Caenorhabditis elegans: one gene and its partner. The protein of the gene in region 1 interacts with the protein of each later gene in a pairwise test. Each region holds a gene or a part of one and is shown in the gene's direction. Other genes may lie near its edges.

The links. The genes of interacting proteins can lie anywhere in the genome.
Region 2: the proteins of mua-3 (region 1) and ttm-1 interact in a two-hybrid assay, tested with the Caenorhabditis elegans proteins (one large-scale study listed by BioGRID).

Annotation. Positions count from the first base shown.
Region 1 is NC_003281.10:10,157,879-10,165,028, forward strand, and holds the start of mua-3 (Transmembrane cell adhesion receptor mua-3), read left to right. Parts: upstream 1-2,818; coding exon 2,819-2,999; intron 3,000-4,009; exon of another isoform or gene 4,010-4,225; intron 4,226-5,049; coding exon 5,050-5,256; intron 5,257-5,702; coding exon 5,703-5,930; intron 5,931-5,990; coding exon 5,991-6,106; intron 6,107-6,364; coding exon 6,365-6,610; intron 6,611-7,073; coding exon 7,074-7,150. Other genes in the region: K08E5.5 (uncharacterized protein), read right to left, coding at 1,334-1,395, 2,461-2,467. UniProt on the Caenorhabditis elegans protein: Involved in cell adhesion and required for organ positioning and attachment. At the hypodermal surface, required for attachment of the hypdermermis to the basal cuticle in postembryonic development, possibly through intermediate filaments of the cytoskeleton.
Region 2 is NC_003281.10:12,951,114-12,960,076, reverse strand, and holds ttm-1 (Zinc transporter ttm-1), read left to right. Parts: upstream 1-2,905; 5' UTR 2,906-3,064; coding exon 3,065-3,355; intron 3,356-4,743; coding exon 4,744-5,536; intron 5,537-6,723; coding exon 6,724-6,872; 3' UTR 6,873-7,108; downstream 7,109-8,963. Other genes in the region: Y39E4A.1 (uncharacterized protein), read right to left, coding at 7,735-7,830, 8,300-8,605. UniProt on the Caenorhabditis elegans protein: Promotes excretion of zinc from intestinal cells into the intestinal lumen in response to increased dietary zinc. Involved in cadmium resistance, possibly by promoting its transport from cells.

The DNA of each region.
Region 1 (7,150 bases):
GCATTTTTGTGTATTTTTGAATTAAAATAAATGCATTCACCGGTGAAAAGCGTCAGTTTTTGAAATTTTAAAACTAAAAAGAAAACAATTTTAAGATATAAAATTAGTTTTTAAATTCTGAAAAAAACTAATTTTGCATGTAAATGGTCGGTAAAGATCAATATCAAATTGGGCTCTGAGGGAATGACTGAAAATCCACTTTTTCTGCTTGAACTCAGCAGATATAATTTTTTTAAAAATTTAGTTTTTAAATTCTGAAAGAACACAAAATTTGCAACAAAATGGCTACAGGGATTTTTGAAAAAGTTAGTTTGAAGCCAGATATTAATTTTTAAAAATTGGAAAAACTACTAATTTTGCATATAAATGGTCGGTTTAATCAATTTCAAATTGTGCACTGAAATGTATGATTAAATATCCACTTTTTCTGCTTGAACTTAGCGGATATGAAACTTTTTTAAATTTAGTTTTTAAATTCTGAAAGAACACAAAATTTGCAACAAAATAGCTACAGGGATTTTTGAAAAAGTTAGTTTGAAGCCAGATATTCATTTTTAAAGTTTGGAAAATCTACATCGTTAACTAATTTCTGAAAAACAGGAAAAAGTCAAATAAATCGCAAAAATGGAAGTTCAAATAAAAAAGTTTTGAAATTTTTCCTAATTTTTCAAAAACTTATGCAATGTGTATTAAATGTATAAATGTATAAATTATGTATTAATATGTTGTGTAATAAAAATGTATTACCTATCAATTTTGAAGCAAAGTAGTTTGAAATTTTAATTTCAGGAAATTTTTGCACCAACTTACTTCAAACTTAATCGATTTTTTTTTCGTTTTTTCTTTAAAAATCATTTTCAATGGTTTTACCTGAATCTATACAGTTAATGCATTTGTATGTTCGTTAAAATTCATTGTAAATGACCTTCCCATATGAAGGACCGTGTATTCGAATAATGCCATTAGTATTCTCAACCCCCCGAGAACGGAAGAACGACGGGATGCAATGCAAATCACTTAAGTTTAATGGTTTTTCAAGGAAGGAGGTAATGTAAATTTATGTTCTCTCCAAATTGTTCCATCCTTCTAATTATTTATGTATGCAGAGGTATAGGAAACCCAGAAAAAACTCCCTGGTTGGCCAAGAAAAGAACATATGGTTTATATGCATAACTCGGAAAACAATAGCACTGTAGAAAAGGGTGTGTATGTATGTAATACAATACAGTTCGGGTGTCATCAAAAAGGTTTGGATTACAATTACAAAAGGCGGGCTTGTGCGTTGAAAACCGTATTGCTCAAGAGGTTTTCTTCATGGAAATCAGAAATTGAATTAATTCAATTTGACCGAGAAACGGTTTGAGCTGAGCAATCCGTATGTACTTTGAGACATCACTGAAAAATATTTATTAAACTTGTGATTTGGAAAATCTGAAAGAAAAAGAGAACATGATCAAACATCAAAAAAGTGAATTTGTAATAGATAAATTCCTGGAGGATATCTAGATTTTTTACAGAAAAATACAAAACATTCAAACTTTCCCGGAACAGTGTGAATTTGACAGGCCTCAGATCCATTTAAGCCGTTACGGTTAGACTAGATTATCAAAAGTATTTTATTTTACTTTAACAAAACTCAACTTCTACCCACCGAAATTTCGCTCTGAAGTATTTCCAGTTCAATATTCCCAATTCTCGGGCTGTATAGAATTTCTCTAAAGTAAGCCTCATTTTTGCAATTTTTCAATAATTGAGTTTAAAGGATGGAAAAATATCTGGAAACTTTTTGTTTTTTTTTTTGAAAATGAACTCAATTTTTCGAACATCTAATTTTCCTTTTACATGTGGTGCCAGGCTGACCAATTTCGGTTTGATCTACAAAAATGCGGGAAGTTTTTCCTAAAAAATGTGACATCAACACGTTTTTAACCATGCGAAATTAAAAGCGAAGTCTGCGTTCAAATTCCCGCAATTCTCGTAGATCTATGTAGATCAAACCGAAATGGGGCACTCTGACAACACGTGCTTTTATCATTAGTAAAACTTGTATTCAATTAATTATTGAAATCTAGCTCTTTGCAGCACTTAGATACATGTCAGGTTGTGTATTTAAGCTTCGAAAATCATCACTTCTGAGCATTAACTGTAAAAATGTTACGAGTAGATAAATACAATCATTTGCTCCAAAATTTTCATTTTGCGACACCCTACTGAACGCCAAAAAACTAATTAATATACTAGAGCCCAGCTCTGCAAATTTAAAATTACAACCTGAAAACTGTAGTCACAAAATTTCTAGACCATAATTTTCCACGACGCAAAATGTGCCCAATTTTGTGCGTGCATAATGCCATTGCTGCGTGGTTCCTTATACACATAACAAATTAATTGTGCTGATAGCCGATGTTTAAATTTAATCCTAGCATCAAACGAAAAAAAAGTCAAGTTAATAGAAGATACCTTTCATTTTTCAATAAGACAATGCGGGTAATTCAAAAAGGTAAATGAAACAATAGAACGTCGCATAATGATTTGAATAAGTAGTGTTCCTAAACTCATTTGACGGAAGGAAGAAGACGTATGGATATATACAACTACATACCTAAACCATTCTTCTTCTTCTTCTTCTCCATCTTTTCCTACGCACAGTGCCCTTCTTCTTCCGTCTGTTCCATCTCATTCCGGTTAGCCCCGCCTCTAAAAGAGACTGGTTGTCTTTTGCGGACTTGCTGCCAGCCTTCACCGAACCGGCGTAACTATATACTACTTCGAGATAGATGAGATTACTTTTTTTTGACAACATAACACCCGCATAACAATGCAGGCTGGAATTTCAATATTTTTTCTCTTTTTACACATTCCTATATTTTTTGTAAACTGCTCGAATTCCACAAGCTGTGTTGCTCGAGAAGAATTTCAATGCAAAATGGATGATTCTTGTATTTCAATGAAAAAATGGCAAGATGGAGTTGATGATTGCTATGATGGAAGTGATGAAGGTGATTTTTAAATTATTTGAATACTGGCGATTTCTAAAAGTTTTTTGAAATATTCAACCAGCTGTCAATTACCCTACGCAAACATGCAAAAACTTGAAAGCAAGTCATTTTCAAAGGATTCTAAAACTTTTCAAAACTGGAAGGAAATTTTATTTGTTCATTTTTTTGACTTACTCGAAATAAAAATTTTCCAAACCACAAAATCCGATGGAAATTTTTCTTTTGATCGGTGGCTTCCAAAAACGTTGCAAAAACTGAGCAATTAACACTTTTTGAAACAAAATAAATTATTTAAATTTATGTGTGAAAAGCGAAAAGTTTTATTATAATATCCCACTGGCCTCACATTTAAAACAGTTCCAGTGACGTCCTACTCCCAAAAAAAATTATCACGGTTTTCCGAGACAATGTATAAGACAAAATTAATAACTGTCTTTTTTTCTTTTTTCTCGCATTTTAGTTTTTTTTCAAAGCCGGTGAGAAATTTTCCGGTTTGTTTCAATTCTTTTTAAAGCTTTTGCTCCGAAAACTCCATAAGTTTATGAAGCCGAGGCTTATTATTAAAAATTGCAAAATATGCGGAAATACTTTCCTGTAAATATAAAAAATAACTTTATACTCTTGGAAAAATTGCCAAAATTTTCAAAGGGGGATTTTCTTTTGAAAAAAAAGTATTTTATTCAAAATTCATTTTCACTAAATCTGAAAAGTCCAAAACCCCCAATTTTTCTGCAAACCTAGATTTCATGAACTCTGACGTCTTTTCTAAACTTAATAACCTAGAATCCAAAAAAACTAAATTTAGGTTGTCCTACTTCTTTTTGCTGTGTGTGTGTTTTTTTTCAAAAAATATAATAACACCATTACTCGGACTAGATACCTTTTTAGTAAGTAACCACTTCAAATGTTTCTCTATGCACTCTTCAGATCGTTTTTTGATGAGTACCCGCACCTTCGTGCCTCAACGCGCGTACGCACCACAGCCGCAATTAGACCGTATTCGGTAATTAGACGTATTCTTTTCCTCCAGAGCCTCCCCTTATTCATCCTAGTGTGATTGTGTCATTCGAGCGTAATATATATCTTTGAATACCTTCCAAAAAAAATCAAGAACAGTGACCGTAAAAATGTACGTCTTTTTCCCTTTCATTTGATCAAAATAAGTCGAATTCCGAAAGACACATGGATATTAAGATATTCAAATTTAATTGGTTTGACCTTCCCTTTCGTTTCAATGCAACTCAAGTGACACCAGTTCCTTGAAAAGGTCGTGAAACCCATACAACGGGCCTATCGAGGAGAACAAGATAATTGCCTTTAGGTTGTATTTCATTTACAAGTCACTGTGTTGACTAATTGAGCAAATTTGTGTATGGTCTGAAATGTAACTATTAAAAAAAAACTGTAGAATTGGTTCGGAAGTCAGAGGTATGCACATTTTTACTGCAATTACTGAAAGGTAACACAAAATTATAGAAAAATATTTTTACTTCCTGAAAACAGCTTTACTTTGAATTAAAAATTTCAAAAAATTGATCAAATCTGCCTGAAAGCCTCTATGTGCCGATCGACCAATTACATTAGGATATCATTGTGACTTTGCGGTAAGATTTGAGCAAAAGTTTTTCAATTCAAAGTAAATTTATTATCAAAAAGTACCAATTTTTTTGATTTAAAATTTCTGTTCCGGTGTAAAACTTTAGCACAGTTCCGTGGAAAACGGAGTACATTTTCCAAAAAGTTTTGATAAAAGTGGCCACTTTTAAATATATATCAGAAGTTGGCTATTTCAAAAACTAAAATTAAATGACAGTGGACTAATTTTGGAATTTTTGAAAAGTTTGGAACAAAGTCCTATGTTTGAGTCTCTACAATGTTTTGATAAAAACGATAAAAAAAATGTTGGTAATTTATTTTATTAGAATTTTTAAATTCTAAATATTCACAAAAAAGCTTACCTAACCGCAACACGATAATCGAATTGAAAAAATGCCAACAGGGTATTTTCTTTTTTGCAATCCCCCGCCAAGAACCTAATCCCATTTTACAGTGTGCCTGCCATGGCAATTCGACTGTCAGTTTGGATCACCTCGATGTATTTCAAAAAACAAATTGCACGACAAAAAGATCGATTGTTATTCTGGTTTCGACGAAGGATGTCCTGCTCACTATTTTGTGTGTCGAGATAGAAGTGCATGCATTGAACCATCGAAATATCTTAATGGTGTTGCTGATTGTAAAGATAAGTCGGATGAACGTGAGTGATGATATTCAAGGTTAATTGTGTATGGGAAGGGAAAACAATGTATACATTATGAAATTATTGTTGCAATATGTTTAAGAAAGGGAAATAACAATTATTTAGTTTGAAAAACCGAAAAATAAATTATTCAAAAATGTTACATATTTTCTGCGTAAATGAAATTTCATTAAAAAAAATACAATAAAATTAAGAACATTGCACTTGATGAGCTCTAAAATAGAGATAAATTAAAATAATTTTTGAAACTGATTTAATGTTTTTTAATCCAGATACAAAAAAAAATCCCAAAAACATTTGCCAAAAAAACAAGAAAGTTGCAAAAAGTGGGCATACTTTTTTGAAAATTTTTTTTTCAAGTTTATCAAGACATTGCGCTACTCCTAAAATTCAAAAAACACCACCTGAATATAAAAACCAAACCCCTAAAAAATGTTTTTCAGCATGCGCACAGAATCAATTCCAATGCTCGGATGGCACAAAATGTATTCCAAAAGCTCAATTTCAAGATGGAAAAGAAGATTGTGATGATGGTTCAGATGAAGAATGTACTACATCTCAATTTGCATGCCAATGTGGAACCATTAAATGTGTTTCTGATACTTTTATAATGGATGGAAACTGGGATTGTGAAGATGGTTCCGATGAGTTTATCAATAAAACGTTGACAGGTGAGCATTTTGAAAATTCTAAAGGATTTTGAAAAATGAAATGGAATAATTTATTTACAGCTAATTGCACGAGAAACAATAAAGTCAACATTGCGACCAATTCACTTTCTTTGGGAAAACTTAAATTTTGCTCAGGAAAGAATCCGTGCAAGCCTGAGTTAGGACAAGTTTGTGTGGTAAGGTTTACACAAGTTTTTTACTAAAACATTTCAAACCAAGTAGGAATAATTTTGGCGGGAAATACAAATTTTCTTTAAAAAATGTTTGGCTGGAAGTTTAAATTTTTTGAAAATTTAACTGAGCACACAATAATTTCGAAATGATGTTCTTCAAAAACTCTAAAAACTCTAGTAAAACATTTTGGCAATTTACTTGGGAAGTTGCAAGAGAAGTATCAAAAAAATTGTTTAAAACATTAAAGTTTTAAACTTCAGATAATCGGTGGAACTTGGCGATGTGTCTGTAAGCTGGGAACATTTCGACCACTAGGATCCGATAAATGTATTCCAATTGAACTTCTGACAAGATATCGAAATGCTCCAAGTAGTAAATGCTCAAATTCTCATGAAGAACAATTTGGTCTGCTGCAAGGATTTCAAAAGAGTCTATCATCAAGAAAAGAATTAGAAAGATGGAGTAATATTCGTAGAGCTCCTCCAAGAACATTATCTGGTACTACAGTGAGTTTTTTAATCTTGAAAGGTGATCTATGAGCTGTTAATTTTTAAATCAGAATAGTAAGAATATACTAGGAAAAGCAAAATCTTTTAAAAAGTACAAAAAATCGATTGGAATACCCAAAAATGCCGTAAAAAATGACGGAGCCTGTTATTTGACTCTACTTGAATTTTTTTGTTGAAAAATTTCTTTTTTTTTGTCAATCTTGGTTTTGTTGAATTTTTTAAATCAAATTCGGTGTTACTATAAATTTTTAGTGAGAGTACTAATTTTTGCGATTACTGCCTACGGTACCCGGTCTCGACGCGAAAAATCTTGTTAAATTCAAAAAGATGTACTACTTTAGAAATTATTGTTTCGAAAAAATTAAAATCAATAGTTGATCGGCACTCTTTAAGTTTTTTTTTGTAATTTTGTCGCTGCCCGTAAATAATTTTTTATTTATTTTTAAAAAACAATTTTCAGCCAAGTGGGAGTGATGGTTTCTTAAAAAGTGGTGCTGAACAGGTACCATTCATGTTTCAAGAAGATAAGAATTATGT
Region 2 (8,963 bases), 2.8 Mb from region 1:
GTAGATCTTTTTGCACAGGTTACGTTACTAAGCGCTCTTACAGTAACCTTTCACTAATCCTATAAGTTTTGTGAGTGAACTCGCTGACCTTGGCAAGATTTTTAAATTTTGAAGCTCTTTGAGCCATCATAAGGAGTCAAAATTTGCCCAGCTCGGCAAACTCCAAAAAAAAATTTTAAAAAGTTTTAATGATATTTCTAGGAGCTCCAAAATTACTAAATTCTTAGCACAAGTTTAATTTTTGAATACCTCAATTTTATGTTTTTTTACTATAATTTTTTGAACAAAATCAATAGTTTCGGTCAATTTTTTAAAATCCAATTTGAGGTGTTTGCGGCAAATTCGCCACAATTGCCGCACACTCCTAATAAGGTCATTTCTAATTGCAGTACTTCTCCGGAATACATTTCACGAAACTGTATCACAAACTAGAATGACGTCTCCCCCTTATCACACTTTCACTCCTCCTCCTCCTCCGTCGACATGTATATAAATTTTATGAAAAAGCCCCGACATTTAATCACGAAAATGCTGACACTTTTTTAAGACACCTATACTGATAAAGAGTTCGGTTCACATTACGTCCTTTTCACTTTACTTGATCTCTCTTTTTTTTTGTCTCAACTCTATCATTTTTCCAACAAAAAAAAACTAGTTTCTCATATGTGTGGGAGGTGTGTAAATCATCTCGGCCTCCTTTTTTTCTTTCTTTTTTTGTCTTTTTTCGAAACAATTTCCGTTTCACATTTTCTGCACTTTTATTGCTTTCTTCAGTTCTCTAGAAAATATTTTTAAATTACCTAATATTTTTCCACGTGATATTGTTGCTACTTATGTTATCACATGAGCCTTTTAAAGGGCATCTAATAATATTTTTTTTATATATAAATTGTATTAAAATCAGAGATCAAGCGATCAGAAGATGATTTTTTTAAAGGATTCTTATTTTTTTCCTAAGAATCTTGTAGATCACAATTTTTGAACACAAATTAATTTGAAGCTTAAGCCTAAGCCTAGGCCTACGCCTAAGCCTAAGCATTAGCCTCATCTTAAGCCTAAGTAAAATGTTTTTGTAAAAATTCTGATGAGTTCTAAAAAATCACTAATTATTTTGTTGACTCCTTCTTTCCCCAACTAGTTTGAAAAAGTTCAATTCAAGCCCTGAAAATTTGTACCTTTTTTTTTGTAGTTCCTCCCTAGTTTCCACAACTTTTCTGGGAGTTTGTCGAAAAAATAATAATGTAGCCAAAAAGTAGAGAATACCGGAAATTCGACCCCAAAAAATTCAAATTTTCAACAACTTTTTTCTGAGATTTTTGAAGGATTTTTGATGGATGAAAACACAAAATACTTGATCTTTACATTTTCTCAACTTATTTTTTGAAGTTCAAGACATAGAATTTGTGTCTTTTTGAATTCAGAAGACCATTTAGAGGCAGTCTTATGTCCATCTCTCGCCTACATAAACGGCACATCAAACGATCTTGACCAAAGTTTTGTTTCACCTTTTTATTTTCTAGAAGTCTGCCAAAGTCTGTAAATTAAAATTAATTAAATTCCCAGTAGCTTAACAATAATTTTTACACTTTCGCCTCGTTTACAGGGAGGTAGATCAAAATCGTTTTTTTTTTCCTTCACTTTTCACTTGCAAGTCTCTCGTTTTTGCTAGATAGATAGATGCTTGATGGCAGGAAATACAATCTGGTTCTTCTTCTGCTTTTCCTTCATTGACTATCTATAATCTCTCTCCTCGTGTTTCTTATTATGCGCTTGTGAATTTTTTTTGAATGCCTCACATTTTCAGTCTTGCAATTCTTATTGCTTTGCAGAAAGCAATAAGAATTTTTTTTGAAGTTTTTTTTTCTGTTGAAAAGTTTCCAATTTTTTGTAAGAATTTGTTTGCTTTTTTGCTTTTTTGAACTTTTGGCATGAATTTTTTGGTTTTTCATATAACTTTTTCCTGGAATTTTTTTCCAAAAAACTTAAAAATTTGTGCAAAGCGGAGTTTTCAAGCTAATTTCTTTTTATCTTGTTAAAACTGATTTTTTTTTGAAAATTTTATGTCAAAATTTTTTTCATAAAAGTTGTAGAAGCTTAAAATTAAATGTTTACCTAATTTAAGAACCACTTGAGGTTTTTTTCAGAAATTGTATTTTTGAAAAATAAAATATAAAATTTTTCGATTTTTTGAAAATTTTCTAAACTTTTTTAAGGCAAAAAATATTTTTTTTTCTATTCTTTTTAATCTAAAAATTGCCGGATTTTTTTTGAATTAAACGATGAAATTTGAAGAAAAAAAATCTGGCATTTAAGTCGGTATTTTTTGAAAAATAACTGAAAATTAAAAAAAAATTTTTTGGAAAAAAATCCAAAAAAATACAGATTTTGAAAATATTCACGAAATTTCACTGGCTTTGAAACTTTAAAAAATGCACTGAAAACCTTCGAATTTTTCAATTCAAAGTACTAACTTTTTCATAAGAATCTAATTTTAGAAAAAAATGTATTTCTATTGAAATACGTCCAAAAGTAAGCTGGCTCGCGGAGCTCTTGGAGCTTCATATCCAAAAAAAAAACAAATTCCTGCATGACTCGAAAGATCTTTGATTTTTAAAAATTTGCATAAAAAAATCTTGCGACCTTCCTTCCCACTCAATTTTTTTCCTTTTTTTCCTATCAGCCAGAACGTTTTCCCATATTCAATTTTGTTCTCCATTTCCTTTTCCTATTCTCCTGTTTATTGTGTTCCTTATTCTCTTTTTTCACCCCATTTTTGTCTTGTTTATTTGTTTGTCAAAACGCATTCCACCGCTCCCCAGTCTTTGTGTTGTTCTTTGAAAGGGGACAACAAAAAAAATCGCGGAACTAAGTAACTAAGTTTTTCATTTTGAAATTTCGCTGCTCTTGTCAGAGTGTCCCACGTCGTTTTGATCTACGAAAATCTACAAAAATTGCGGGAATTTTTGGTAGATCAAACCTTGATGGGACAGCCTGACACACATACACGTGCCGTACTCATTTCTCTTAATTCCCGTTAAATATATTTTTTGAAATCTCTAGAACTATGACAATCTCAATGATATCTCCGTCATCAATCCGCCTATCCAGTGACAAACGTGACTCTTCCTCATCCAACCTGCCCGCCAACATCGAAGAGGACACCCAGTCGGTGTCCTCTTCGGATTCTGGAGTATCTGCCGACTCTATTGACCACCATCATCACGGTCATGGGCATGGGCACTCTCATGGGGGTCATGGGCACTCACACACACACAATAATGATGATTCCTCTTCGGATTGTAGTGGAGCAGGAGGAGGAGCGCATAAGCATAGTCATGATGAGAAATATCAAAAGGTACATAGCAAATTTTTTTGCAACATGGCTCAACTTTTACCTCTATTAAAATGACCATTATATTAAAACTAAATTTTTCAAAAAATGTTGCTTTTAATTTTAATTATTGCTATCTATGTAAAAAGCCCAAAATCGACCATTTTAGCATAAAAATGTGTTTTTTTTAAAATCAAGCCAAAACACGAGCTCGCAATTATACATATCAGAGGAAATTTTCAACTCCGGCAATTTGCCGATTTGCCGGAAATTTTCAATTCCGGTAATTTGACGATTTGTCGGAAATTTCCAATTCCGGCAATTCGCCGATTTGCCGGCAATTTTCAATTCCGGCAATTTGTCGATTTGCCGATTTGCCGGCAATTTGTCGATTTGCCAGAAATGTTCAATTTCGGCAATTTGTCGATTTGCCGGAAATTTTCAATTCCGGCAATTTGTCGATTTGCCGGAAATTTCAATTCCGGCAATTTGTCGATTTGCCGATTTGCCAAAAATTTTCAATTCCGGCAATTTGGCGATTTGCCGGAAAAAATCGTTTGCCGCCCACAAATATCTAGCAATACGACGACTTCCTGTGAATTGAATATTTCATCCTAAAATGTTGAAAAATATTGGAAAAGTGTCGAAAATTTCAATAACTGATTTTTTTTCCAAATTTAAATTAGTTTCCCTGAAAATGTTCTTGAAAAATTGCAATTTTATTTGAAATATATAAAAATCAAGGCATTTTTCAGTTAGCGGGACGTTTTTTTGACAAAAATGCGAAAAAAAAACGCAAAAAATATGACAAGAATTTATACATTTGAATATTTTTCTGAAAAAATCAAAACATTATTTGACGCGCAAAATATTTCGACGCGAAAACTACAGTAATTCTTTGAATGACTACTGTAGTGTCGATTTACGCGGCTCTATGTTCATAGATTTATCGATATAATATCAAAATTAAGCAAAGAATGAAAACAAAGATAATACGAAAAAGCAAAGAAAAACTGCGCTAAAGTAGTAATTTATTGAATTACTGAATTACTACGAGATATTTTGCGCGTCAGATATGTTGTGCAATACGCAGTCTCACGTGATGTCAGAATGTCTCATTTCGGCTTTATCTACGTAGATCTACAAAAAATGCGGGAGAAGAGACGCAGAGTTCGTGCTGACGTCACATTTTTTGGGCAAAATATTCCCGCATTTTTTGTAGATCAAACCGTAATGGGACAGACAGCCTGGCACCACATGCATTCTCAGAATTCAGTGTTACCGCACAATTTTAGTAGTAATTTTTTTAAAAACACAGTGTATAACTTTAAAAAAAAACATTTTTTCGCCAAAAAAAAAATGGACATAAAATTTTTTGTTTGGATTTTCCAACTAATATTTCTCGTTTCCAGGGTCGCCGAGCAGAAAAAGTGCTATGGGCAGTTGCAGCACTATCCGCAGTCTTCATCGCCGCCGAGTTCGTCGGTGGATTCTGGGCTCAATCGCTAGCAATTATGACAGACGCCGGACACATGCTCAGTGATCTTCTCTCATTCATCATCTCAATTTTTGCGATTCGTTGTGCACGTCTTCCCGCATCGAAGCGTCTTTCATTCGGTTACGAGCGAGCCGAAGTTCTTGGTGCTCTGACGTCTGTGATCATTCTCTGGGTGCTCACGACAGTGCTCGTCGTCGTCGCTATTCAGCGAATTGTGAACAATGAGCATGAGGTGGATGCTGATGTGATGCTCATCACCGCGGGCGTCGGAGTCCTTTTTAATATCGTTATGGGATTGGTGTTGCACTTCGGAACTGGAGGTCATGGGCACACTCATGGAGGACACTCAAGTCATGGACATGCTCATGATGGAAAGAATGTGAATGTTAGAGCTGCTCTGATTCATGTCATTGGAGATTTGGTGCAATCCATTGGAGTCCTGATTGCTGCCCTTATCATTAGGTTTACCGGATGGACACTTGCCGATCCGATTTGCACATTCCTTTTCTCGATTATCGTGCTCTTCACGACGGTTACAGTTATGCGGGACATCTTTTTCGTTTTGATGGAAGCCACACCGAGCCACTATGACTTGAGTGATGTGAAGAAGGCGTTGAGTGCGTTGGAAGGTGTAAAAGGTGTTCATGATTTGCATTTATGGTCTATTGGAATGGATAAGACTGCGTTTTCGGTGCATTTGGCACTTGGTGAGTGGCTTCTCATTTTGGAGTTTTGAGTAAAACTGAGAAAATTTTGGCGGAAAATTGAAATTTTTCAATAAAGATTTTGGCGGGAATTCAAATTTTTCAATAGTTATTTTGGCGGGAATTCAAATTTACTTTTAAAAATGTTTGCCGGGAATTTCAAATTTTTAAAAAATAATTTTGGCGGGGAATTCAAATTTTTCCATTGAAGTTTCTACCGGGAAATTCAAATAATTTAAATATATATTGTGGATATAAATGCAAATTTATTCAATCAATTTTTGGCCGGAAATTCAAAATTTTAAATGAAAATTTTGAAGGGAAATTCAATTTAGAGCAAAAATTGGATTTTAAAAATTTCAAATTTTCTCTGAAAAACTTTGAATGAAATTTAAATTTTCTGAATAATTTTTGGCGGGAAATTCAAAGTTTTGATATAAAGATTTTGGAGGAAATTTAAATCTTCTGAGAATAATTTTTAACGGGAAATTCGAACATTTTTTATAGGAATTTTGGCGGGAAATTCAAAATTTTAAACTGTTAGTTTTGGCGGCAAATTCAAACTTTGGCTATAAAATTTTTGGCGGGAATTCAAACAATTTTCTTTCGAAAAATTTGCCGGGAAATCGAGTTTTCCTTTAAAAATTTTTTGGCAGGAAATTCAAATTGTCTCTCTGTTGCACGTGGGGTCAGAATGTCTTATTTCGATTTGATCTTCAAAAAATGCGGGAGTTGAGACGCATACATCTCATCTGACTTCGCATGGTTAAGAGCGTGCTGACAATTTTTCTGTAAAAATATTCCCGCATTTGTAGTAGATCAAGCCGCAATGAGACAGCCTGACACCACGTGCTATTGAAGTTTTGAAGATAAATTCAAAATTTTCAATAACAGTTTTGGCGAGAAATTCAAATTTTTTAAATGAAACTTTTGAAAAAAAATTCAGATGTGCTCTAAAAAAATTGGCAAAAAAATTCAATTTTTTCCAATGATTTTTGGTGGGAAATTCAAATTTTTAAATGAGAATTTTGAAGGGAAATTCAAATTTTTTGAGAAACAATTTTGGCGGGAAATTCAAAGTTTTCTGGAAATTTCCTGGAATGTTCTGCAAGGGAAAAGTGCTGCCTTTCATGATATTGAATTTTAATATTTAATAAAAATATATTTTTCTAACTCTTCCAATATTCCAGAATCTCCTAACCGCGCCATGGAAAATGTTGCCGAAGCCCGTTCCCTGATCCGCCGGCGATTCGGAGTTGCCGTCGCCACTGTCCAAGTGGAGCCGTTCGACGAGAAAATCGATTCCTGTGACACGTGTCAACAACAGGAAACTGCTTGATTCCAGTCCTCCATCGTTCTTCTAATCTATTACGATACGGGCAAACTTCTACGTTTTTTTTTTCCAATCAATTTCATTTTTTTCAAAACGTTTACTTTTCTCGACTTTTCCTGTCAGTTTTTTGACCTACTCACACGGGTTGTATTCATTTGGCACATCCAGAGATGCCTACTAATGTTCATATTTTTCCTTACTGTCCAATCCTGTCAAATCGATAATAAATGGCTTTAATTTTTTTTTTTTGAAATTTTTGAAAGAAAATCGAAATATTAAAAAATCAATAATTTATTCAAAATCAATATTTCTGAAAAATCGATAATTAATAGAAAGTCAGTAATATTCGAAAAATCAATATTCTAAAAATCGATCATTTTTTTGAAAATTGATATTTTCAAAAAATCGATAGTTTATAGAAAATCAATAATTAAAAAATCGATTGTTTATAAAAAAATCTCTATTTTTGAAACATTGTTAATTTGCTACGAATCAGTTTTTTAATTGATAAATCTTATAAAACCAGTATTTTTAAAAATTGATAATTTTAGAAAATCAATATTTAAAAAAAAATCGATAATCTATGAAAAATCAATATTTAAAAAATCAAAAATTCATTATGGCTCAATGTTTGAAAATCGATCATTTTTTTTCAATATTTAAAAAATAATCGATAATCTATGAAAAATCAATAATTTAAAATAAATCGATAATTGTATTCCTGAAAAATCGAACACTGAAAGAAAATCAATATTATTTTTTGTTGAAAAATCAATAGTTTTTATTGAAAATCTATATTTTGAAGAACAACACAAAATCGAACGAAAAATCCAATATCTTTATTCATTTTCCACCCAAACTGTTTTATTTAAAGCGGGAAAATACTGAAGTAAACGAGAACGAATAAAACCAGACAAATCGTCCAAATTCCGAGCATTGTCCAGTAGACGATTTTCGCGTTTTTCTGGAAATATTTGAAGATTTCTTGGGAGGAATATTTTGCACAATAGTGGGGAGAAAATCGATAAATTAAAAATGTATATATCGATAATCTATGGAAAATCAATAATTTTAATAAAATCGATAGTTTATAGAAAATCAATATTTAGAAAAAAATCGATAATCTATAGAAAATCGATATTTTGTAAAAAAAATCAATATTTTAAAAATCGATAATCTATAGAAAATCAATGTTTGAAAAATCGATAATTTATTGAAAATCACTAATAAAAAAAATCGATAATTTATAAAAAACAATATTTTGTAAAAAAAATCGATAATCTATAAAAAATCTATATTTTGCGAACAATCGAACTTTTATAAAAAATCGGTATTTAAAAAATCGATAATCTATAGAAAATCGATATTTTGTGAAAAAATCGATAATTCATAGAAAATCAATATTTTTAAAAATCGATAACGTAAAAACTCACAAGCTTGTTCTTCAACTTTTTGATCTTCGCCTTATTGACTCTCGGCTTAATGGACGAAGGATCCGACTCGGGCAACTCCTGAACCCCATCACCAACCACATCACCACTTGCCACCTTCTTATCCGATACGAGCCCACCGGCGGCTCCGTGAGCATCTGGCGGTGGCGGTGGCGGTGTTCCTCCGACTGTCGGCGCATTTGGATTCAGATTGTCGTAGGGCATCGCGGCGAGATTGTGGTACTCGTCATCGGGTTTTTTCTGATCATTCGCGACGGGAGCAGTTGGATCGAAAAATGCATCGGCCATTGTTTGCAGAAGATGAGAATTTTCTTTTATTTTATTATTTGATTTGCCACCGAACTCTCTTTGAAACAGAAATAAATTTTTTTGAGAAGGGGAGGAAGGGGCGATTATATCATTTAAAAGTTTACGGAATTTTCAAAATAAATAGTAAATTTTTTCCCACTTTTTCTGATTTTTTTTTTTTTTTTAAAGTTCAAAATTTTTAATTTTCATAAATCAAAAATTTGAAAATGATTTTTTTTACATTTATTATTATTTTTTTGGTCAAAATTTTGTTTTTTCTAAATCTGTTTAAAACCACTGTTTTCAGAAAAATCACAACTTTTTAGTGTTCGGAGATCAATCTTCAAAATTGTGATTT